Oryzias latipes: one gene and its partner. The protein of the gene in region 1 purifies or fractionates together with the protein of each later gene. This does not show direct contact. Links are inferred from orthologs where the notes say so. Each region holds a gene or a part of one and is shown on either strand. Other genes may lie near its edges. The genes, in order: acad9 and timmdc1.

The links.
Region 2: the proteins of acad9 (region 1) and timmdc1 purify together in Homo sapiens (affinity purification with mass spectrometry; 3 studies listed by BioGRID and IntAct, counting the BioPlex papers as one, with this or other methods). This does not show direct contact. The link is inferred for Oryzias latipes from reciprocal best matches to the Homo sapiens genes ACAD9 and TIMMDC1.

Annotation. Positions count from the first base shown.
Region 1 is NC_019863.2:25,294,002-25,305,318, forward strand, and holds the end of acad9 (acyl-CoA dehydrogenase family member 9, mitochondrial), read left to right. Parts: coding exon 1-41; intron 42-113; coding exon 114-215; intron 216-1,942; coding exon 1,943-2,049; intron 2,050-2,190; coding exon 2,191-2,291; intron 2,292-2,766; coding exon 2,767-2,845; intron 2,846-2,928; coding exon 2,929-3,100; intron 3,101-3,169; coding exon 3,170-3,243; intron 3,244-3,320; coding exon 3,321-3,396; intron 3,397-3,466; coding exon 3,467-3,537; intron 3,538-3,610; coding exon 3,611-3,730; intron 3,731-3,808; coding exon 3,809-3,937; intron 3,938-5,035; coding exon 5,036-5,115; intron 5,116-5,194; coding exon 5,195-5,321; intron 5,322-5,400; coding exon 5,401-5,478; intron 5,479-5,591; coding exon 5,592-5,720; intron 5,721-6,315; coding exon 6,316-6,388; intron 6,389-6,589; coding exon 6,590-6,690; 3' UTR 6,691-7,156; downstream 7,157-11,317. UniProt on the Homo sapiens protein: As part of the MCIA complex, primarily participates in the assembly of the mitochondrial complex I and therefore plays a role in oxidative phosphorylation.
Region 2 is NC_019860.2:16,685,287-16,698,218, reverse strand, and holds the start of timmdc1 (complex I assembly factor TIMMDC1, mitochondrial), read left to right. Parts: upstream 1-5,729; 5' UTR 5,730-5,894; intron 5,895-7,729; 5' UTR 7,730-7,750; coding exon 7,751-8,031; intron 8,032-8,197; coding exon 8,198-8,363; intron 8,364-10,586; coding exon 10,587-10,675; intron 10,676-11,024; coding exon 11,025-11,092; intron 11,093-11,746; coding exon 11,747-11,825; intron 11,826-12,307; coding exon 12,308-12,418; intron 12,419-12,613; coding exon 12,614-12,773; 3' UTR 12,774-12,932. Other genes in the region: poglut1 (protein O-glucosyltransferase 1), read left to right, coding at 1,142-1,232, 1,315-1,458, 1,543-1,678, 1,754-1,875, 1,960-2,019, 2,979-3,078, 3,154-3,212, 3,285-3,452 and 2 more.

The DNA of each region.
Region 1 (11,317 bases):
TCAGTTTGTTGCTCCAGTGGAGAAGTTTTTCAGTGAGGAGGGTAAGACGCTGCCACTGCTCTGAACGTTAAACCCTGGCGTCTGCCAGATTTTTAATTGGTAAATGTCCTCAGTTGACTCGGCGATGATCGATCAGGAAGCCCGGATCCCCGCGGAGACTATGAAGGGCCTGAAGGAGCTGGGCCTGTTCGGCATCATGGTTCCAGAGGAGTACGGTGAGAGCGCAGCGTGGCGTTTGAGTGCACACCTGACGGGATCTTTCGGAAAAGCCACAATGAAAACAGCTGGGGGGAGCTTGTAGCTCTACCCACACAAGAGTCATCTTCAGGGGCCAAATGTTTACACCAGCATAGACAGTCGAAGAACAGTTCTTGTTTGTGAACTGACAAACTCCAAAATCTGTTCCTCCACACATCATCTGTCAGCTGCAGGAAGTCACAAGTAACTTGACTCTTTCTTCAACCTTTTTTTAATTGATGGACAGTCATTGGCTGTCAAGGTCATAAATGATCTCGAGTCCAATGTTGACATAAAAAAACCCCTTCAATTTTACTTTTGTTGGACCTGCGTAACCTTTGACACAATTGATCACTCAATTCTTTTAAACGGACTACATCACATGGCTGGAATTACTGGAAGTCTTTAGCTGGTTTGAATATTCCCTCACAGGAAAAGATTTTATTGTCACCTGACAGCCAAAGTATGACGTGGTGTGCCACAAGGCTCCGTCCTTGGTCCCACACTTTTTAACCTTGCTTCCGCTTGGTGATGTCATCAGGAGACATGGCATAAACATTCATAGTTACAGTGGGGCAATAAAGTAATGAATCAGTCACCAATTGCACAAGTCCTCCCACTTAAAAAGATGAGGGAAGCCTGTAATTTTCTTCATTGTTTTACATCAACTTTGAGAGACAAAATGAGAAAGAAAATCCAGAAAATCACATTGTCTGATTTTCTAAAGAATTTATTTGCAAATTATGGTGGTAAAGAAGTATTTGGTCACCTAAAAACAAGCAAGATTTCTGGCTCTCACAGACCTGCAATTTCTTCTGTAAGAGGATCCTCTGTCCTCCACTCTTTACCTGTATTAGTGGCAACTGTTTGAACTTATCTCCATAAAAGACACCTGTCCACAACCTCAAACAGTCACTCTCCAAACTCTACTATGACCAAGACCAAAAAGTTGTCTAAGGACACAAAATTCTTGACCTGCACCAGGATGAAATATTATAACATCTAGAATAGATCATTGTAATCTCGTTCTTTCTGCCAAATAAGAAAAATGCTATTAATCAGCTGCAGATTGTTCAGAACTCAGCTTCATGGACCACAAAAGAAAAAGCACATTACTTCTTTGCACTGGCTCCCAGTTACCTTTAGGATCAATCTTAAGATTCTTTTGTTAGTCTTTAACAGTCTTAATGTAATTGGACCTTCATTTCTGTCCTGATTGCATTTAGTGTTTTACCCTCCCAGAGCCCTCAGGTGGTCAGGTGTAGGTCAGCTGGGTTCCACAGGTCTGAACAAAATTCCTCGGCGAAGCCTGTGGAGAGGCCTGCCTCAGAATTTGAGGGCTTCACCCACTGTGGAGTTTTTTTTTTAAAAAAAACTCAAAATTCATCTATTTAGCTTTTCTTTATTTTGTTTTTTTTTCATATTTCCTTATGTTTTGATTTGATTTAATTGGATGTTTTTGTAGAATGTGTGTTTTTTTTTCAATTATGGTTAGTATTTTTACTAGTATTTTTATTATTTCTTAATTTTATGTAAAGCACTTTTAGGTGTTGGCTAGCAGGAAAAGTGTTCTATAAATAAATTTGAATGTGAATTAAATGGTGTAGTTACACAAAGGTAACAGGTTTGTCCTGTTCAGTACAGCCATTGGAATTTCTCTGAACTCCTGATGTTTACACGTCCGTGCTGTATTCCTTCCCTTTAGGTGGTCTGGGATTGTCCAACACCACCTACGCCCGTCTGAACGAGATCATCGCCTTAGATGGTTCCATCGCTGTGACTCTGGCTGCTCATCAAGCCATCGGATTGAAGGTGAAGGTGCAGCTCTGAAGCAAAGTTTCACCCAAATGCCTTTTCAGACGTTAAGATGACATGTCTGAGCTCCCTGGGATTCTACTGAGCAACCCCGGACTACTGCTGGAAACTCTCTGACTTTGTTGACCGGAATTTCAGGGCATTCTGTTGGCGGGAACGGAGGCTCAGAAGAAGAAGTATCTACCCAAGCTGGCATCAGGAGAGCACGTGGCAGCCTTCTGCCTGACAGAGCCTGGGAGGTAAAAGCATCCAACCTTTCTGTGGAGCTTCATTCGTGTTTCTGCTCACAGCCCGACAGCAAAGAGGTGATGGAGCACGGGAATATCTGCCAGCAGTAACAGAGAGAATGCATGTACACACAGCCCCCCCCCCCCCCCCCCCCCCACACACATCTTTTTATCTCACTGAAAGTACACAGGCTTTTATTTCGAAGGAAAGTAGTCGTATATCTTAATAATCTTTCCTCTACAACAAAACACTTTAGCGTCTTTCTATTTTTTCTTTGTCACCCTGTTAGGAAGAGTCTGGATCAAACGATTAACATCATTTTAACTTAAATTTTCAAAATAAAAGTTTAAACAATTTTTTTCATGTCTGAATTTCCCAAAACAAACATTACAGTTTTATGCACTCAGGGAATAGAACACTGAATTGTCTGTGCACATGACAGTGCACGTTTGTGTGCACGTGGCTGACTGTTATCTGGTGTTACAGTGGGAGTGATGCGGCCTCCATTCAGACTCGAGCTACCCTGTCTGAAGATGGAAAACATTACCTGATCAACGGTTCCAAGGTGAGACGGTGGACGCTCACATGGGTGCACGTGTTTGTTTTTTTTACATGTAGGTGTGTTGAGCTTCCTCTTTTGTCTGTCAGTTCTGGATCTCAAACGGAGGGATGGCGGACATCATGACAGTGTTCGCTCGCACTGAGGTGGAGGTGGACGGAGTCAAAAAAGACAAAATCTCAGCCTTTATTGTTGAGAGGGCTTTTGGGGGGATAACCAGCGGCAAGCCAGAGGACAAGCTGGGCATCCGGGGATCCAACAGTAAGTGGGGCGGAGTTGGACTCCAAGCTTTGTCGGGTCTGTGAAGCTGAGCTTTGGTTCTACTTCCAGCTTGTGAGGTGTCCTTTGACAATGTGCCGGTGCCGGTGGAGAATGTAATTGGTGAGATTGGAGGAGGATTCAAGGTAAACTGTGCCCTGCTCTGCAGCCTGACCAGTTGAAGGTGTTTGTCGGTCATTAATGGGAGCTTTGTGATGAACAGATCGCCATGAACATCCTGAACTCTGGAAGGTTCAGCATGGGCAGCTCCTGTGCCGGAATGATCAAAAAGCTGATCGGTAAGCAGATATTCTCTGAAGGTTGTGGTGCTTTTCGAAGTCTCTGCATTTCTATATATTCTCTCCGCAGAGATGGCCTCTGAGTACGCCGCCACCAGGAAGCAGTTTAACAAAAGCCTTAGTGAGTTTGGCCTGATCCAGGTATGCTGTCAGCCTCCTCACTGTAATAAAGCAGCTAACACCCAAGCTAAAAAGTCCTCATGTGTTTCTGCAGGAGAAGTTTGCCTTGATGGCCATCAATGCCTTTGTGATGGAGAGCATGGCTTACCTGACTGCAGGAATGATGGATAGACCTGGAGTTCCAGATTGTTCTCTGGAAGCTGCCATGGTCAAGGTAGATGCAGCCTCCCCCCTCCTGTGCTCTATTTCGTGCTAGGCTTGAGCCCCACCCTGATGTCTCTGTGCCGCGCAGGTGTTCAGCTCAGAGGGAGGCTGGATCTGCGTCAGCGAGGCTCTGCAGGTCCTCGGAGGTCTGGGTTACACCAAGAACTACCCGTATGAGCGCTTCGTCAGGGACTGCCGCATCCTACCCATCTTTGAGGTAAAGATGAGGCAGGGCTGCAGTATGCAGGTGTCACTGTTCAGGATCCGATCAGTGCAGCCTCTGGGTGTCCTGTACTAAAAACTGTCCAAGCTGAACATCAGGATTTCCCCGAATCTCAGGAGAAACTGGGGCCTCAGAGCTGACCAGAAGCCTTATTTATGTCAGTTTCTACACGCAAAAAAGTTAAGGAACGCAGGTGGACATCGCCATTTACAAAGCTTAATGTAAACACTGGTGTAGGAAAAATATATGCTGGAGACATTGCTTCCGTGCGCAGTGAGCAAACCTGTACAAGGACTGCTAAATTAGACATTTGGCGACAAAAAAATAAAATATTACAGCAATTCAGTCATGAATCACACGAACATTTTATCACCACTTTTAACAGGCATTTTCTATCAGTCATTAGGTTCTTATGCAATGACTATTAATGCAATTAAGCTCTCAGTGCTGTGAAGCTGATGGAGATCGTGCAAGAGACCACACAGTAAAAACCAAACTGGGAACTACCAGTATTAGTTTTGATGTCTCAAATATTCAGCAAAACATGTCAAACACCTAGGCTATGTCTGAATTTCCTCACTTCTCCCTAACCCATAAAATATGATATAGTGCAGGACTAGAGCCCTAGTTTTAATGCAACAATGCCCACTAGTTTTCACAGAGACTTCTGGGAAATTTCTAGGATTTTGAATTATTATTTTGTAATACAAAATGCTAACGCACCATATAGTGAGTAGTGAGGGAATTCAGACCTTGTTTCTTCAGTTACATGTAAACTACATCTGTGCTTGAAACTGTGGGTCACTGGATTGTAGTGGCTCCGCTTCCCCCAGCTGAAGACGTCAGGCGCATGTCATCAGCAGGAATCATCAGCTGTAGGGATGTCGTTGACATCTGGTGCGATAAAGTGGAAATTATTAATAAATGCCTCAAAAGTGTTTCCCCATCAAGACTGCAATCTCCTCATCTGTCAGCGAAGTTTCAGCTGTTTACATCATCATATGTAGTTTTCTCTTTTTATGTTGCTTTATTTGACACATACTTCCACACAGAGCAGGCTGGTCCTTCTTATCTTTCTGTGTGTGTCTGCAGGGCACGAACGAGATCCTGAGGATGTACGTCGCCCTCACAGGGATGCAGCACGCCGGCAAAGTCCTCACAGGGAAAATCAAGTACGTCTTCTAACCGATGGGTGCAGAAACTGCAGCCATCAGAAACGAACGCAGCTCCAGCCCTGCTTTTTGTCTGCAGGGAGATGAAGAAAGGAAACATCGGTACGGTCATGGGCATGTTTGGTAAGAAAATGAGGAACTTCTATGGAGGCTCCGTGGACTTGGGTCTGACGGGGAAGGACGGTGTGGTGCACCCCAGCCTGGAGGTAAAGTCTCCCCCTGTGGCATGTTGGTGTGATCTTGCAGTCCATCCACTCCTCTGTCATTTTTGCTTTTTGTTTGAAGGAAAGTGCAAAGAAATTTGAGCAGAACGTCCACCTTTTTGGAACAACAGTGGAGGGTCTGCTGTACAGATATGGAAAGGTAACACTGATCTAAATGAAGCCTTTCAAGGGTTTAATCTGCTCTGCAGGGATGAGGGTTTCTGCTGAAGCTTTGAGCCATGACGTGACTGATCTGGATTCATTTTTCCTCAGACTATCGTGGACGAGCAGCTCATCCTGAAGAAAGTTGCAGATGTGATGATCAACCTATATGCCATGACCGCCGTCCTTTCCAGAGCCAGCCGCTCCATCAGCATCGGCCTCAGGAACCACGACCACGAGGTATGCACACCACAAACGCAGAGTTAGAAGCAAACTACTTTCCACACAGGATCATAGGAAGCTAGTGGAGCTAACCCCCACTGGGCATGCTCAGAGAACTGTGTGGAACTGTGAGACAACTGATTCACTGTGCAGAAAACCTGCTCTAGAATGAAGCTGTGAGATTACTTGGTGATTGAGGATTACACTGAAGAGTCTTCCATTAACCTGGTGTTCAGAGTTCTTAAACTACAGTTTTACAATCTGGTCTTTGTGGAATGATCTGGAAAAAAATAGATTATAATAGTCTTCTGGGTAGTGCTTTAACAAATAAACTGAACCTAAAAGTATTTGTGCTCAGTAACTATTATTGAGGTGGACACTAGGGGGTGCTGTGGGTAAGAAACCCGAATTTAGGGAGTTGTGAGTGTTGAAAGTCAGCAGATGTTTGTGTGTCAGGGAGGAGGCACCATGGAGACCATGCCAGCCCGTCCTGAAGTGTCCTCACCTGCAGACCTCTGATCTCCTCGCCTGCTTCTGAGAATCTTTGCTGTCATGCAGCTGCAGACTTTGCCTTTCTCTCCATTTTCACTCTGCTGCTTTGTTTGTTTTCCAGGTGCTCCTCGCAAACACTTTTTGCAGCGACGCCTATTTCAAAAACAACTACTGGATGGTTCAGCTGGAGAAACGTGAGTCAAACATGAAGCTGTAATTGAGAACAGGCCCCAGCTGTAAAAGACTCCCATGTGTTGTGGGTTTTCCTCCACCCCTGGCTCCTCTCTGTTCCCTCTTCTTCTGATGTTTGTTTCATGCCGAGCTCACCGCAGACGTGAACCTCACACTCCAGAAGTGAGAGTGCTTTCTGTAACTCCCATGTAAATCTATTCCAGACTCTCCGGAGAACAATGACGCCAACATCAAGAAGATCGCCCAGAACGTCCTGCAGAACAGAGCCTACATCTGCTCCCACCCCCTGGAGAGGACGTTCTGAAGTTCCTGCACCGCAGAGCTGCTGTTTCACTCCATCTGCACCCAGATGCTCTTCATACATGACTGTTTTACTATGATTCAGTGGACGAGCTGTTTTTAACATGGATCAGAGTTTGGGAACAAGAAAAAGCCATCAATCTGACCCAAGTGTCTGTAACCTTTTGTGCCCTAAATTGAGAAGTTTGAGGATGGAACAGATTTCTAATGAACTCTTAAATATTGGACAGCTTTGAGTGTCCTTATGTTTGTACAAGAAAAATCTAATTGGATCTCTGCTCAATCCTGCCTGATAAAACACCAGTCCACAGCCAGCATCATGAGCTATACAAGGAAAGAAAAAAAATCCCATCATCAAGCTAACGAAGCATTCATACCGTCTAAAGGGTTCTCACATCTGTAGATGGATTTAATATTGTAACTTAATGTATGATTCAAATGATGTAACATTAAAGAATTTTTTAATTGTACATTTGAGAGCAAAATTCTCTGTGAATGACCCTACTTAGGCTTCTGGATCATTTAAAGTCCCACTCATATTTTTGATCTGTTGTAAATTGTCCCCAATGGTCTTTATGCAGTTTTTAAGCAAAATGAAAAACCTCTCATTTTCTTGGACATATTTTGTGTAGCACGATAGGAGGTCTGAGTTGTGGGCGGGACTGTAAGCACGGAAGGAAGCCTCTGGTGATATCCCATCATCCCTTTCTTAACAGTCTCTCCCCTTAATGCATCTATTTGTCTGCCAGCAAATGTGGTTTTAACCTGTTTAAATGAAAAAGCATTTCTGGTATTGACCTTTATTTTGAATTATGAGACACATATGCTTTCATATATTACAACCGTAAAACAGTTCATTACTAATACTACATTAGCAATTACTCCAGGTGAATTTAGCACAAATTTGTATTTAGCTCCGTCAGGTGTTTGTAGGAGTGAGGTGTGACACAAACCTTTACTTGTTGAGTCAACACGCACAAACAGAACCAGCTGCAACTTGTTAAATGTTTTATTCGTTCATTTATTTGCCTTTACAGGGAAATGCATAACATAGTGCCTAAAATTAATTAATATCCAAAGCTAAAACAACTTTCAAATACACACCCGGCCTGAAATACCCTTTAGTAGTAACCAGTGGTGGTTCTACACTAACTAGAGGAGAGCTGTCATTTCAAGCTGTTGCTCCTCATCTTTGGAACTCCCTCCCTCTGTTGTTGCGTCAATATCGACTCCTTGTGTGTTTTAAATCTCAGGTCAAGAAGTTTTTATTCAGGAGAGCTTTTAGTTAATTTTAGTCCTTGTTTTTCTACGTTTTACTGTGTTTTGTTTTATTATTATTATTATTGTATTTTATTACTTTTTGTGTTTTTAGAGGATTTTATGCTTTCTTTAAAGCACTTTGTGATTCGTTCTGGGAAAAGTGCTATAGAAATAATGATATTCTATTCTATTCTATACTAACTTACTCCCTGGGCGAGTAACACCCCACCCCCCACCCCTGTGTTCCCTATCTTTTATTTGGTCATTTTACACAAAAATGCATGAATTTTCTAGACTTGTAACACGCTTTAGGTTTTGGGCCGAAGAACATAAACATTTACTGAACATACTAAAGCTAAACTTTTACACCTTTTAAACATTTAAAACGTAAATCATTGAACATAAATATGAATTAAAAACAGACAGGAACATAACTCCAGAATAACTCAAGTTAAACCTTTAATAACGTATAATATTTTGCTCTCCATAAAAATATATTCTCTCAAAAATATACAAATATGAACACGCAAAACAAAATAAACAAAGCCTGGAAATATTAATAAGAAAAAGAAATCATGTCTTTCTGTTTTCTTTGCTCTTATAATTTTTTAGAGATGGAGTCCTCCATCATTTTTATCAATCAGTTCATTTCTTGGTGTGTGACGTCCTGTGTGTGTCTTTGTGAAACAGATCAGAAGCATTGGATCTAAAAAAAAAAAACTGTTATTGTGGATATCATTTTGAGGTCTTAAAAAACATTAAAAACTAAATCATAGAACTCATGAATGGGATTACTCCAAAATTATTTGGCATTTCCCTAATTGTGTGTAACACCAACAGTAAAAATCATCCAAAAAACCTCAATCCATTCATAAACATCTATAATTTATTTATGATCTCATAAAGTCCCCCCCATCCCCCGCCTTCCTTCTTGCATACCGTCTCTATGACGGGAGCGCGCAGCGCAGCTGCGGCCTAGAGTTGATTGTTAGAGAGTTCTGATCTTCTGTCCCCCGGCCTAACCCTGGTGGAGGGAACCGGGGCCCTCTGTCACGGCGGCCCTGTCCTTGGGGTGCTGGCTTCCTGGGCCCGGCGGCCCTCTCTCCACGCAGGGAGAGGAATCCCTGAGCTCTCTGGCAAGACCGGGAGCCGGGGATCATATCACATCTGAGCCGGGGGTGTCCGTGTCCCAGTGGCATGGGTTCTGGTCCTGGCCCCTGGGCGCCGGCCTTCTTCGTATTTTCCAACTGCGGGTAAGCCTGGTCGGGCCATATTTATAGCACCCCTTGGGGACCCTTGATCCTCTTGGGCATTCTTCTCCCGGGCGGGGTGGCCGCTCCCTGCCTTGCTCTCTCCTGGACTGACCGTGGCCTGGGGGGGGCTGCCTGGAGCGTGGGGGCGGGTCTTCCCTGGGGGGCCCTGCCTCGTTCCTGGGGCGGAGGGATGCTCAGGACTCCTGGGAGGTGGTGGGCCGCCTGTCTGGGGCTTGGGGTGCCCCCCTGAGGCGGGCCCCTCGTTGTGCCCCCTGGGTGCGCTGGGGAGGCTGCTCTACAGGGTGGGCTGGTGCTTGCACTCTCTACCCCCTGCGCCCCCCTGCTCTCTGGCATTGGGGGCCGCTGTGGCGGTCCCGCTGGCCCTGCTCGGGGTGGCGGATGTGGTTGCCCGGCAGGAGGTGCTTCTCTATCTTCTGTACTGTGCGGGTGTTGGGGGGTCCCGGCTGCCGCTGCTGCTGCAGTGGGGCCCTTGGTAGGGGGGCGGCTGGGTTCTCTCCCTCTTTTTACGTTCCATCATCCACCCCAGAAGAACATAAACACTGACTTGAGCACAGGTGCTATCTCACTTTTGCGCAAACAGTTTGCGTGACTGAATGAAATGTTTCACACGTGTTAGTCTGAATGCATAAGTAAGCGTGTGTGAATGTTAATAATAATAATGGATTGGATTTATCTGCGCTTTTCAAGACACCCAAAGCGCTTACATTGTGTCCATTATTCATTCACTCCTCATTCATACTTGGTGATGGTAAGCTACGGTTGTAGCCACAGCTGCCCTGGGGCAGACTGACAGAGGCGTGGCTGCCATTTCGCGCCTATGGCCCCTCTGACCATCACCGGGACATTCATACACATTCACACACCAGTGGAGCCACGGAGGGTGAAGTGTCTTACCCAAGGACACAACGACATTTTGGCTGGTGGGAGCGGGGATTGAACCGCCAACCCTTCGATCATTGGACGACCCGCTCAACCACCTGAGCCACTGTCGCCCTGTACTATGTTAGCGGTAGTATGTCCATGTGTAACTAAATACACCAACTGGTGCAGCTCGGACACATCCTCAGTGATGAACCCAGGGTCTCGGGGTGTTTTGGGTCTTAGATCATCATACACCCTCACCTGGGCGACCTAGCCTGGGGTGATCAGTCCCCAGCTTGTGTCCGAGGAGCGCTACACCACAAATCTGCCCTTTTGATCCACAGCCACCTAGAAGCTCTTTCTGCTGCCTCACTGATGGTTTTGGTGGCTTTTCTCTCCTGCAACCCTCGAATACCCAGGAGCTTGAGTACTCAGTGCAGGGATTGCCCTGGGAAACCCCTGCAGCCCACTTCAAATGGCTCACAATGTGCCCTCCAGCCACTCATCCTAAAGGCCTCCACCAGTTCAAGTATCTGGTCCTCTTCCCCTCGTTAGCCTCGCACATCCGATCTTCCCAGGGTACTGTAAGTTCTAGCAGCACCACTTGCTTTGTGGCGTCTGATGTTAAAACCAGGTCTGGCCTGAGGGAAGTCTCTGCAATTTGCTCTGGAAACTTCAGCTTTCTCCCCAGGTCCACCTGTAATCTCCAGTCACGAGCTGAGGCTAGCAGCCCAGTTGAGGTCTTGCGCTGTGCTTGTGGTTTCTCTCCTTCCCTGACAAAAGTAATATTGTTCCTTTCTGGGAGCTGGTGTTTGCTTTGCTGAATTCCTATACAGATGGTGGCAGCCACTGCCCTCAAAACCTGAACTTGTTTGTGTGTGAACACTTTTGGAGCCAACAGGTGTGTTTGTAACTTTTGAGTGTGTGTGTGGACAGGCCCCGCCCATTTGAGATTTTTCATAGATTTTAACCTGTCAGTTGTGATTATAAAGCTCCAGCAACTTGTTGCTTTCTGACACTTCATGATCCCCCCCCCCTTATCTGTCATCCTTCTCTCTTCTTTCCTCCTTTTCTTTTCTGTCCGGTCCAACAAAAAATATTTACAAATATAATTAACATGAATAAAGTTTAGCTGAAATTACAAAGTGAGTTTATTTAAATATACATCTGGTGTATCATAAGATTCATAACCCCCGTTGTAAAAGTGAAATATGTCCAACACAAAAGGCTTTCAGC
Region 2 (12,932 bases), on another chromosome or scaffold:
TTTTTTTTGTGTCTTTAAACCTACTTTTGAAAACAAGTTCTGATTGATTGAAAACACGACCTTTCGCTGCACGTCTTAAAGAAACTTAATGCTAAATGGCTAAAATGCTGGGGGGCTAAGCCGAGCTGAGCTGAGGCTGAGTGCTAACTTTTATGGAGGCTGGGATTGATTTTATGAATGAACATAGTGAAATTGTAACTACACGAGTGTGTTTATTCAGTGAACCAGACCTGCTTTGCCGACAGGAGTTTAGCACAAATCAGTGTAATCCCAACCATTTCACTTCTAAAGTTGGTTACAACGAGACAAAAAAAAGTTTATCTAAGATTTACTAGTATTTTATTATTTGCCTGTTTTATTGTAAAAGGTCAGTTTAAGCTCTTATTTTGAAGCTTTTTGATGAAGCCGGAATGTTCGTCTGCAGGGGCGTGTTTGGTCATTTTGCAGCTCGGGGCGACGCAAGTCCCCCCTGAAAAAAAAACGTTACATTTTTGTTAGTAGTTTTCTACCAAATGTAGCTTAAAAAAAGATGTTTTACTTTTTATTAATTGGGCCATTTTGTTAAAAAAAAAACTTTTTACAAATAACTAGTTTGAAATAAATTACTCGGTTTAGCCGTTAAGGGGCTTGCTTTAAGCTCGTCCCTATTTACTTTATTGAAAAATAATCTAATTTGTACAACGAAAGCAAACGTTCCAACTTTGGCTCCATTATGATGAATGCTATGAAATTTTGAAATAAACAAGATTTTTATTTAACGTTTAAGGATTAAAGTCGTATGTATAAGTGGTCATGACCTTTGAGCAACGTAAAAGTAAAGGATCATGTGACAACAGGTTTCTCCCATTTCTTATTAATATAGTTTACAAACTAAAGGAAGACCATTTAAAGTTGAAAGAACATGAAAAAAATCACAACTTTTGGATGATTAACTTTGCTAATAGCCTTTTAGCTAACTGAGTATCCTAGATGATGCTAAAAGGCTTAATGGTTAATTTTTATTGTAAAAATATGGTCTTTTGATCGATTCTGTTCAGTTTTTTTTGTTTGTTTTTTTGCTCAGCCATTGCAAAATTTGTTGCAAAAAGAAAAATAGGTGTAAAAACAACAACACAAATTTACGTCTGAACGTCTTCTTCAGCCCAAAAGTGGAAGAAAACCCGCGATCGTGTTTCTGCAGCGGTCGGGAGCTACGTCTCGTGTAGCTCTGTCAACTGCAGCTGTCATCTGAGGTGAGTTTTTTTTTTTTTTTCTTTCCGGTCTGCCTGCAGATCCAACATTTTCACAAAACTAACCAGCAGCTCTTGATTTCAGCGTTCTCCAACAGGACTTGCAGCCTTTCAGAGGTGGGATCTCAGAAAGCCTCATGGCTTCCACGGTTCAGCGAGGCATGGGCACCCACTACCAGATCATCCAACACAAGCTGTACAGAGAGCAGAACTGCATGTTCCCTGCAAGGTGCACCCACAGGAACCCGCTTTGCCTTTGATCTGGACGCCAAACGTCAGCACATGCTGATTGGTTCGTCTGGTTTTTTTTTAGGTGCAGCGGCGTGGAGCATTTCATCCTGGAGGTGATTGACCGTCTGCCGGACCTGGAGATGGTGGTAAACGTGAGGGATTACCCTCAGGTGCCGAACTGGATGAGCCCCGCCCTGCCGGTCCTCTCTTTCAGTAAGGTCAGGATCATGACGGGGGGCTTCTTCATGCCTCTAAACCTCTTTTGATAACCCGCGTTTGCTCGGACTGAACAGACTGCCGAGTACCAGGACATCATGTATCCCGCTTGGACGTTTTGGGAAGGTGGCCCCGCTGTGTGGCCCATATACCCCACCGGACTGGGGAGGTGGGACCTGATGAGGACGGATCTTAAAAAGTAAGATGGAGCGGCAGTGCGGACATCCTGGTAGCTGCGAATGTTATTTAAACGTTTGTGAAATTTCTCTTCTTGTGTCGACAGGTCTGCAGCTCAATGGCCCTGGAAAAAAAAGGAGCCCAAAGGATTCTTCAGAGGCTCCAGGTGGGTCAAGCTAACGGGTCATTTGGGACTTTTTACAAATCAAATCCGGTCCACTTTTCACATGTTTTCTGGGAAAAAACAGATTCAAGAAAAAGTTAATTAAACAAATTAAACAAAAAACTACAATAGAGTTTACCTACGTTGGTAAAATGTTGTTTTTTGCAGAAAGAACTTTTTTTTTATTAAAAGAAAAGCGGTTTTACTACCAAACTAAAGTTGCCTTGAAATAATAAATCCTTTAAAAAAATTAAAATGTATTTGATAAAATCTTAAACTAATTGAAATTATAATATTTTTTATGGCGATACCCAACCTTATCAAACACAACAGATTAATAAAACTTTGTTTTTCTATGTTAATACAACACAAAATATTTTTCTGAGGTTGCTGTTGCCTCATTTGGCCACTAGATTTCCTCGTTCTGTTTTAGAAAGAAAACTACAGCTGTGTCCAAATTCCCTAATAAAACTTATTTTACTATATAGCATTTTTTTCCGGGGTTATTGAATCTACAATTCCAAAATCCAGTGCCCTGAAAATTTCCCAGAAGTCTCTGCGAAAAACCAGTGTGCAATGATGCTCATAGACAGAAATGCATTGCATTGTTACGATTTATCATTTGGAAAAGAAAACATTACATTGATTAAAAAAAAAAATCCCAGGTTTTCATCATCAGAGCATCACATGTTCATTAATAGTTTTTGTAAAATGTTTTTTTTTATTAGGTTTTACTGGGTGATGTCATTTGAAACAATATTTTTTAGAAAAACAACAACAAAAAAGGTTTTTGTAGGGGCTAGTGAGATAATACAGATACAGTTTTCCGAGGTGGCGTCTCGGAAAATCGTGCTAGTTTTAGCAGGTTTTGCCCAAGAAATCCTTGTTTTTTTTTAACCTGTATAAAACATTTAGTCTTTCCAGAGTTCTGGATGACCTCACTAAGAACCTTTGTGTTGTAGAACCAGCTCGGAGCGCGATCCGCTCATCCTCCTGTCCAGAGAGGATCCAGAGCTGGTGGATGCAGAGTACACCAAGAACCAGGCCTGGAAGTCAGAGAAGGTCTGCTGGAGGGGGGCTGGAAGTCAGAAATAATTGGCACAGGGGTGGGATTTGATTGTTGTTTGTCTTTGACAGGATACACTGGGAAGACCTCCAGCTGCAGAGATCCCCCTGTTGGATCACTGCAAATACAAGTAAGCTGCACGCCCGACATCCAATCCCCCGCAGCTCTGGTGCATCCAACCACCTATGAACTTCTCCGACAGATATTTGTTCAACTTTCGCGGCGTGGCGGCCAGCTTCCGCCTCAAACACCTCTTCCTCTGCGGCTCCCTGGTCTTCCACGTCGGGGAAGAGTGGCAGGAGTTCTTCTACCCTCAGCTCAAGCCGTGGGTCCACTACATCCCAGTCAAGCAGGATCTGTCAGACGTTCGGTACGAGAAGCTCCGAAAGATTTTATTTTATTTTTTACCTTTTCGTCGGATTCTTAATAATATTTTTTTTTACTTTCAGAGGACTTTTACAGTTCGTCAAAGAGAACGATGATGTGGCACAAGAAATCGCAGAGAGGTAACCCTTCACTGTTTGTCTGAGTTTTCAAAGCCTCCACACAACTAAAAAAGACGTTTGCAGCAGACGCAGCGACTACAGATGTTTGAGTTCTGATCACTTCCTGATGGTATTGTGGTTTCACCATTATTATTATTATTATTTTTTATTCTCCTCATCGTCCTCAGAGGTCAGGAGTTCATCCTCCAGCACCTCCGCATGGAAGACGTCTCTTGTTACTGGGAGCAACTGCTGACCAACTTCAGCCACCTTCTTACCTACAGACCCAGCAGAAGGAAAAACTACAGTCAGATCGTCCACAAATCGCGGAAAACTGAGCTGTGAGGAAGAAACTCAGACGAACCGGGGGCAGCTTAGGCGGGAGACGGATGAATGTAACCGCCACTGTTTTTATTTCCCAAAACTCTATGTTCAGGATCTTTTTCGTTAGTTTTGTTTAGTTTTTTTTAAATAACTGTATTCGTTGATGAAACTTTGTTTGTCTGATTATCTTTGACTTTTTTTCCCTGCAGTTCCTTTGTCTGTAAACCTCTTTTTTTGTTTTTAAAGCTTAAATTCTCATCCCATATGTTTTTCCTAATTATCAAACCAGTAGAACTTGATTTATTTTGGTTTTACACTTAATAAAGAAACGTTTAAATGAATCATATTTTCTATATACCGTACTTTCACGGCTATATGGAACACTTAAGTCTTAGATTTTGTTCAGAGCGCCCTATGGAGCGGCCCTAATGTCTTGTTGCGTGACTCTGATAATGAGGACGTAGGAGAGGACAGCATGAGAACCGGAAGAAGGGAAGTGAGGACGTGAAAGAAGACCCCCCCCCCCCCCCCGAATAGTACAAAGGTGCAGGTACCCTGAAAATACTGCAAAGAGACACGATTATGAAGTGCAGTTGAAACTGCGAGCTATCAGCTACGCGGAGCATCATGGGAATTCAAGATGAATGAATCCATGGAGGAAGCTGATAAACTCTGACAAGTCAAGAAGAAGCAGCTGAGTTTCTGCGGAAACAAGGATTACCACAAAAACATGCTAATCCACGTTACATCTGCAGGTTTTTTTAATTCTAACAAAGTCCGCCGTATTTTAGATGCAAATTTCGGCCAATCGGATCAACCAGAAAGGTTACCGCCCCCTGAACACTGTGCGCAGGAGCGCCGCTCAGTCGATGCGGGGTCGCTCGGTCAGCATTGCGCTTGCGCGGTTGTGAGGTTTGCTAAAGTATGGAAGCATTTGTGTAGCATCATTAAAAATAAAAGTCAAAACCATAAACGCTTTTTTCATTTTCCGAATGAAGCTGCATTTTTTTTTCACTCGCTCAGTTATCTTTGTGCTTCATGGCAGCCATGTATGTAGCCATTAAACATCATACATGAGTTTAAAAAAACATCATTGAGCTTTTAGTTTATAACAAGCCATTTATCCTTCTTAAACGGTCAAAAGACGTTACCGACAGAAATAAAAAATCTATAAATAATAGGTTATATATAATCTGGACCTAAAGTTAGTATGAAATCTTCCGTTGTGCTTGAAATTGTATTAAAGTCAATTTGCACTTCCCACAAAGTTCTATTTTACAAAAGTAGAAAAGTCTAGAAAAAGTCTATTAAATCAGTTATAAAAATAAACAACCGTGTATATTATTCTTTTTTTTTCTTATTAAAGAGCTCAATTTTAATAGGAATTAATTGTTAAAGCTATCTAGAGTTGAAACACTAGCAAAGACAGCAGCAAGTTTCATTCTGACCTGACCTAAAAAGCTAATTCGTGTTGGGTTTTTTTTATTTAAAAGTGACTAAAATAATACTTTTCGGTTTACAATTAACTCAAAAGAACTTAGTATTTAGATCTATAGTTTTCCTACTGCAGGAACTTGTTTAATTTTTTCAGGTTTGTGTACTGATTTCAACATCACGGCGGTTTTTAGCAGAGTTTTCAATAAATAATTCAAAAGCATTTCATACTTTGATATCAAACTGATTAAAACACGTTTTATCATAAAAGTCTATGCAGGTATTTTCTTTTTATTTCATTTTTGCTGCCACGTATGAAAACTGATTGATTTCTCCAGTTTATTTTATACTTAGTCCTCCTAGCCGCAGGGGGCGCTGGCCACGATTGAAGTGCGCATGACAGCAGACATGCGCAGATGTGGGTTCTGCCTGCCAGCTCTGAGTGGAATGAGTGAACCCCTGAAGGAAGGTTATGGAAAGACAAACACATTAATGTGTTTAAATTATAGTTTGTAATTTACAAAGACTAACGCCCCTTTGTGGCGGGATTTCAATTGTAGCCGCTACTGGTAAGATTCTCTTTAATGCTGAAACTAAGAGTTAAATAAATGCCAGCCAATGCTAGCAAATGCTAACAATTAGCTCTATTAAAACTAATTTAAAAATCAATTCAACATTTCCGAGGCATTTTAACTTAATTAAATGTTAGTTTGTGGTTTTGTCGTTCGTTTGAGGAGCCTTTTCTATTTATTTTTTGGATATAAAATGTAACAAATTGGAGTTAAACCTCATAAACCCTTTTTGACTAATTTTAGGTGAAACATTTTGGAGCTTTTTCTCCAAAAATACTTGGGCAACGGAAGTAATTAAGCTAATAAAATGTGGAAATAGAAAAAATAGGTCAGTTTGTAATACTACACTGGCTGAAAATAAAGAAAACAGCCAAAATGGATACAAGTTGATTAGCTGGCAGTGTTAAATGTTCTTCTTTTTAGTAATTTGGTTTCCCTCTTAGTTTCATAGATTCTTAGCCTTCATGTTTTCCTGCTCCAGTACAAACACTGAGCTGATTGGTCAGTATTAGTTTCAGGTGTTTCTTAAAGCAGGAACTCAGGTAAAGATAATGCCCAGATATATTAGTGAAAATCACCTGTTTACTTTATTAAGGCAGATATTGTAAAAACATCATAGTATCATTCATTTCTGTCAATTAAAACAATAAATTCAAATATTTTAATGTCTTCAGAGACGTTTGGGGCGACTCAAATTAATCTTTAATGATGTGAAAATCAACTTTCTTTTTTTCCCCTCTAAAAACCATAAAATAATCCATAATTCTTGCTTTAAATGCAACCTTTTCAAATGTCACTAACTTTAAAATAATGACTAAACGAGGCTCCTGCTCGGTTTTCTGAAACCTTTACAAAATCAAGTGAAAATTGCTCAATTTGTGCTAATTATAATTACAGTTTTTACTAATACAGTTATTTTATTTGTTTACTCTGGAATCTTTTCACCTCCTTTTAGGAACTATTATGTCAAAAATATATTTTAATTATTTTTAAACCAAATTATGTTTTAATATTCTAAATAGATCTGATATATAGTTATTTATTTCATTTTTTATTTTTAAATCTTATTGATGAATTTGGCTGAATTGAACCAAATCACAGAATTAAAATCAACATGTAAGAGGTTGCTGTTACCCCATTTGGCCACCAGAGGTCCCTGTTTAATTTGAACCGTTGCCAGCCATTTGAAGCTTCATGCATCCTTGAATGTTCAGTTTTTTCCCCTTTTCAGTTGATATTCTGTAAAAGGGTAATTTTCTGCATTTTAAAGAAAATGTTTTTTGTCTTATTACTTATTTTCTTTGATGCGGTGTGGACTCTTCAGATCTAAATGTTAAATTTTCATCATAGGATTTACTTCAGGAAAACAGTTTTTTCACCCAAATTTTGTTTTTGCTGTAATTTTTTCTTTTACTATGGGTATATTTGCTAAAGCATGAAAACAGAGGGCATTTATTTTTGTTTATTTTGATTATTTATTTTAAAATCTTCAATACAGATATAAGGAATGATTTGTATGGCTGCTTTTCTTATTTATTTTATGAATGATAATTTTATGTTTTACTTATTCAATGTAAAATATGTTTTTACTCTGCTAAAAAGCAGAGTAGAATGAACCAAATTCAATAGATCTTTTTAATGTTTACCTTTTAAGCGGATAGCGTGAGGTTTCAGCCTCTTTACTCTTGAGTGTTTTGGCCGCCGCCTTTTCCAGCTGCTGAGTTTTGGACGCCGTGTGTGTTCCTGCCAGCGTTTTGTTTGCCCCCCAGCTGTTTGTTCTGAGAGTGCAGCCTTTCAGCCCACAACCATGTGTTTGTGAATCCCCACTGAAGCCTGGCGCCAGCTGAAGTGCGATGCGTCCAGATCAGCCGCTCAGACGGCGGGCAGATTCGCCTCCCCAGGGCGCGGCGAGCACCGGCCCGCCGCGGGGCTCCATCCGGACTGCGAGGCCTCGTTTTTTTGTCTGCTGCCTGCTCCCGAGGGTCCATGCAGCTGACATGACTGCTGGCCAGCATGCACAGACGTGCTCCTCCTCCTCCTCCTCTTCCTCGACCAGCACCCTGCCAGCTAACATTAGGAAGCCAGAACTTCCCGACACAGGATGGGGGCGCATCAGGGATCTGTTTGACAGAAAGTTTGTCTCCTTTTCTTTCCTCACATCTGTTTAATAAACACCTTTTAACATTTTAAACACATCTTCAGCATCAATTACATAAATGATAAATGAAATAAATGTAAATCAGACGCATTGTAACCCCTTCTGAACGTCTCGGGTGTCAAACTTGTGGGTCTCCCTGCAGTGACGTACAATCTTACCCGGAGGAGCTGACCAACCTGATCAAGCACGGGATCATCGGCGCCACCGCCGGCCTCCTCTACGGAGGCATCCCAGCTGCTCGCTTCGCCCGCCAGCGTTATATCCAAGTGAGCCAGGCGGAGTTGTACACCAGCCGAGTGGATGCAGTGGTAGGTTGATGTTCCCGATCAGTAGGCTTTTATTTTCTAAACTTTAATATTTGATAAGACAATTGACTTTATTAGCTTTTGCAGAGCTATGAGAACATTTACAGACCCTCTCTGGTGCAAATGGTGTGTTGAACATGTTCTTATGACATGTTTCCTCATGATAGAGGACATATATAAGCTTAAAGTAGCATTTCTAAGTATTTCTTTATTCAAATCTTTGTAAATAAGGAGCAGATGAAAAAATGCAGTTTGAAAAAGAGCAGTTTTGTGACGTAAAAAATACTCTGGGCGAGCCACGAGCTCCCTCTTCTGAGCTCTCATGAACAAGGAGGGGAAAAGGGGGCGGCGGGTGTGTCCCGGGCCAACGGTCCCGCCCACGTCTCAGACTACAGAAAACAAGAAAGGTTTTTTGATTTTTGGCAAAAATAATCATAATTCAACATCAGGCCAAGTGGTGCAACAACCTGGTTCTCAACAGCAACAAGTCAACTCATTGTGGACTTCAAGGAGGAGAAAAGAGGCTCACGTGACCCAGACAATATCAAGGCTCAGCAGCAGCTGTTCTTTTAAGGCTCCTCTAAAAGAGCCACCTCTTTCTGGTGAGCTTTTCCCGCCGCACAGTAGAGCGGATCCTTCGCAGCTGTGTGACAGTTTTTGGGATGGGAGCTGCTCTGCTGCAGAGCGGAAGCATCTATAGCGCAGGGGTCCCCAAATCCAGGCCTCGAGGGCCGCTGTCCTACATTGAAGCTCCTTATTGGCTAAACACACCTGATCCAGGTAATCGGCAGCAAATGAGGACACCGGCCCTCGAGGCCCCCTGCTTTAGCGGGAGGTGACGCGTCACAGGGGCTTCACTTCCAGCCATAGAGGACATTCAGAAGAAACGCACATAGTATTCTTTTTTGTTTAAAAATCACTTTTTATTTGTTTCCTTTTCCATTGTCTGATACTAGAACAACATTGAAACAGTCTGACATGAAACAAAACAAGGGGGAAAAATATAAAAACAGGTACTGGCTGCAAAAAAAAAGTTGGACCTTAAAAGTGACACAAGGTCTACGTTCACACTGCAGGGCCTTATGCTCAATTCCGATTTTTTTTTTGCAAGGCCGTTCACATTTCCAATTAAATCCGAATTTTTGTGATCTCCTGTGTGACTGTGGAATGACCCAGAAGTGACTCGCATGCGTAGAAGAGTCAACGGTGAACGACGTCACTTGTTGTCTGCCGAAGTAGCTAACGTTAACAATGGATGTCAACAACAGTGTTGTCAACAGCGGAGCTCTTTTTGCATTAATAAATTAATTTTCAAAAAGGAGCAGCACAATTACGATCTTCTTATTTTGAGAAGGCATTGGAGCCAGGATCGTCTGTACCCACTGTTGTGGAATGGGGATGTGAATGTGCTGGGGCCGTGTGTGTGTGTAAGAGAGAGCGTGTGCAGCGAGGTAGAGAATCGGGGGGCCGCGCATTCATTTTGTGTGTTACGAAGGAAGGAGAACGGTAATAAAATAAGGCTTCCCCCAGGATAAATGCTATTGACTCTTTATTAACCCGCTCTGGAGAATCTGAGGGTCCGAACAGGGAGGTGAACCCCGGAGGAGGATCCGCCTTCGGTCCCCTGCGCTTCTGACCACAGTCGGAAAGGGAAAAAAAAAAGTCATTGTGGGAAAGGTTCAACACCACGCTCGGCCATTTCACTGGAAAGTTTTTCAAAAACCGCCTGGTTGCGATAAGAGCCCTTGAGTTTGGCCTAAATAGAGCTGTCACCCCAAATATTAATCCAATCGGGGACATCGCTTCCCTTCCACTGACTGGTCTCAGCAGCATCGTCCGCCATGGTTGATGTTTACGTTCTCGTTGTCACTTTAAAAGTTTTTGTGGTTTAAAAAAAACAATAAAGATATTATTTTGATGTTTTTAAAGATGTTTTCTCTGCTAGATGGTGAGTTTAAATGCCGTTGAAACCAATTGGATCTTTGTGTGGGAAGAGTGACAAAAACAAATCAGTACATTAAGACGTACCAGATTCAAAAAATGTTGCGTTCTTTGTCATTTTCTTGTCTTTTTTTTCATTCATTTCCGACCAAAATGAAGATAATTCAATGTTTCAGTCTAAAACTAATGTTGACCACATGATGCAGAATTTGTACGATACACTTTAAATGTTCCACAAAAATAGTTTTAACGTCTGCTTTTTGTTTTTTATTCCTTTTTCTGTAGCGCTCTTCTCATAACGCAGCCATCCGTGCGTTTGTGCGTTACGGATGGAGGTGGAGCTGGAGAGTTTCTCTGATCGTCACTTTGTTCAGGTGAGCCGCCGGGAGATGATCCGCCAACGTGAGGTTTTAAGATTCAAACGGGGACACGTGTGGTCTGGAGAGACTCTGGCTTCAAATTAAACTCATGTTCTGTCCTTTGTGCCCATTCTTTATCCCTTCAGAGGCTGCATTTAGAACATTTCGTTAATTGACTTTACATTTTAGAGAAAGTGTGTCTTGTTAGTCTACAGTTAGGCTGTAGGCCCCTCCCACAAAAACATCTGACAGCCAGGACAAAAATACAGATTTTTTTTTTTACATAAACTGTTTGTTTTTGGTTAAAGGTTCAGAAGGTCTGGGACAATTTTCTGAGTGTTGTTGGTCTTGTCTCCCGCTGCAGTTCGGTCAGCACCGGCTTGTCCGTGTACCGAGACAAAGACGCCCTCAGCCACTACGTTGCAGCAGGAGGTGAGGACTGTCGGAGCAGAAGCTTCCTGCTCTTTCTAAACTTTAAAGACCCGCTCCAATGAAAACAGTGTTTTTTAACATGTTTTTGTAGTGCTTTTATTGGGATGGTGTGTACAGAAAATTTAGCTTAAAATTACATTTCTAAGTTTTATTTTATTCAAATCAGTGCTCCACTCCATTCATCCACTTGAAAATGTCCAAACTGGACGGCTGGATAGCTCCAATGTTGCTCGCCACTTTTTGTTGCACTGCTAAAAATGCAGGGTTGAGTGATATATTGCTGAATGAAAATCAAATCTTAAAGGGTAATAATTGGCACAGAAAAAATAAAATAAAGAAATGATTAAAGGTGACAAAGTGAAAACAGCTGAACAACAAAAAAGATATTTTAGTGAAAAATGCCAGCGCCGGGTATCGAACCAGCGAGTTTCCCCATGTGTTTCAATGGAGGCAAAAATCCTGGAATATCTTGAAAAGTTCAAGGATTTGAAGGACCAGAAGTCATAGCTAGAAAGAGCTGAACATTTTAATAAATGAATAAATGTTGAATGATTTAAAAAAAATGGCAGAAGATATAATAAAGAAACAGTAAAACGATGTCTTATTGCTGACTGTTCCTTCGCTAACTTCTCTTTATTTCTTCACGTTGAGAAGCTGCTACCGTTGGCCTCTTCCGGCTGAACCTGGGTCTTCGAGGGCTGGTGGCGGGGAGCGTCATCGGAGCGGTTCTGGGGTGAGTTAGACTGAGTCGACCCGCCTCGTTGCAGTTGAACGTCGTTGGCAGAAAACCTGCGTCTCTTCCTGATTGCGGCGAGCGATCTGGCAGCCAGCTGCTCCCCTCCCAGCGACCCTCTGCTAGCCAGCTGAGCTGACCCCCTCCCCCCCCCCTTCCCAAACTCCCGGGTCATTTCTCAGCGCCAGGGGGAGTCGTGTGCAGCGGAGGGGGGAGGGCCACGGCCTCAGCTGGCTCCCCACATGTGAACCATCACGAGTCCTAAAGCCTCCAGTTCTGCTCTGAGCTGCAGATTCAGTCTCTGTTGGCCCCCCTCCTCTTCATCAGCGTTCGTCTGAGTGACCGCCCACCTGGAGCGTTAGACGTGTGCGAACATCCAGGGCAGAGAAAGGAGTAAAGAGCGTCACGCTTCACCGCTCGCCTCCATGTCGTCACCGTTAAAAAAAACACTGCTGCTGCTCAGTGAACTGGTTTCCCTGCAGGATTCCCGTCGGTGCTCTGGTCATCGGCCTGCAGTCTCTGACGGGAGAAACCTTTCGACAGAGGAGGAGGAGAGAGCGGCGAGAGCTGTACGAACACAAGCTGGCTGAATGGTAAGGCGCCATCGCACACGTTCCCCGTTTGATCCAGTGAGGATCAGAGACAAATCTGACATTTCTCTGCATTTAAGGCTCCTGAAGGTTAAAACAAATATCTTTGTGTGGAGAAAAACATAAATGGATCCAAATTTGGTTGAAAAATTCCATCAAACACCTGATGAATAAACACTTTTGAAATGTCCCGATCAGGACGGCGCGTCTGGAGATGACGGACGAGCTGATTTCCAGTCTGGACGGCGCCGCTCAGGAGGAAGAACTACGCAGAGACATTCAGAGGATGCAGGAGCTGCTGAGTTTACCAAAGAACGAGGAGAAGGCAGCGTCCAGCGCCGCCGAAGGTGGGACTTGATGAACGGCGTGGACTTCTTCTGATCCCGACGGACTCGAGTTCAAATCTGGATCTGACTGAATATCTCCTCTGGGGAAAAAAGAAAAAAAAGGATTTTAGGAGCTATAAGTCACTGAAACTTGTGTTATCTTAAAATAGTACAAAGGTTTTTATAAATTG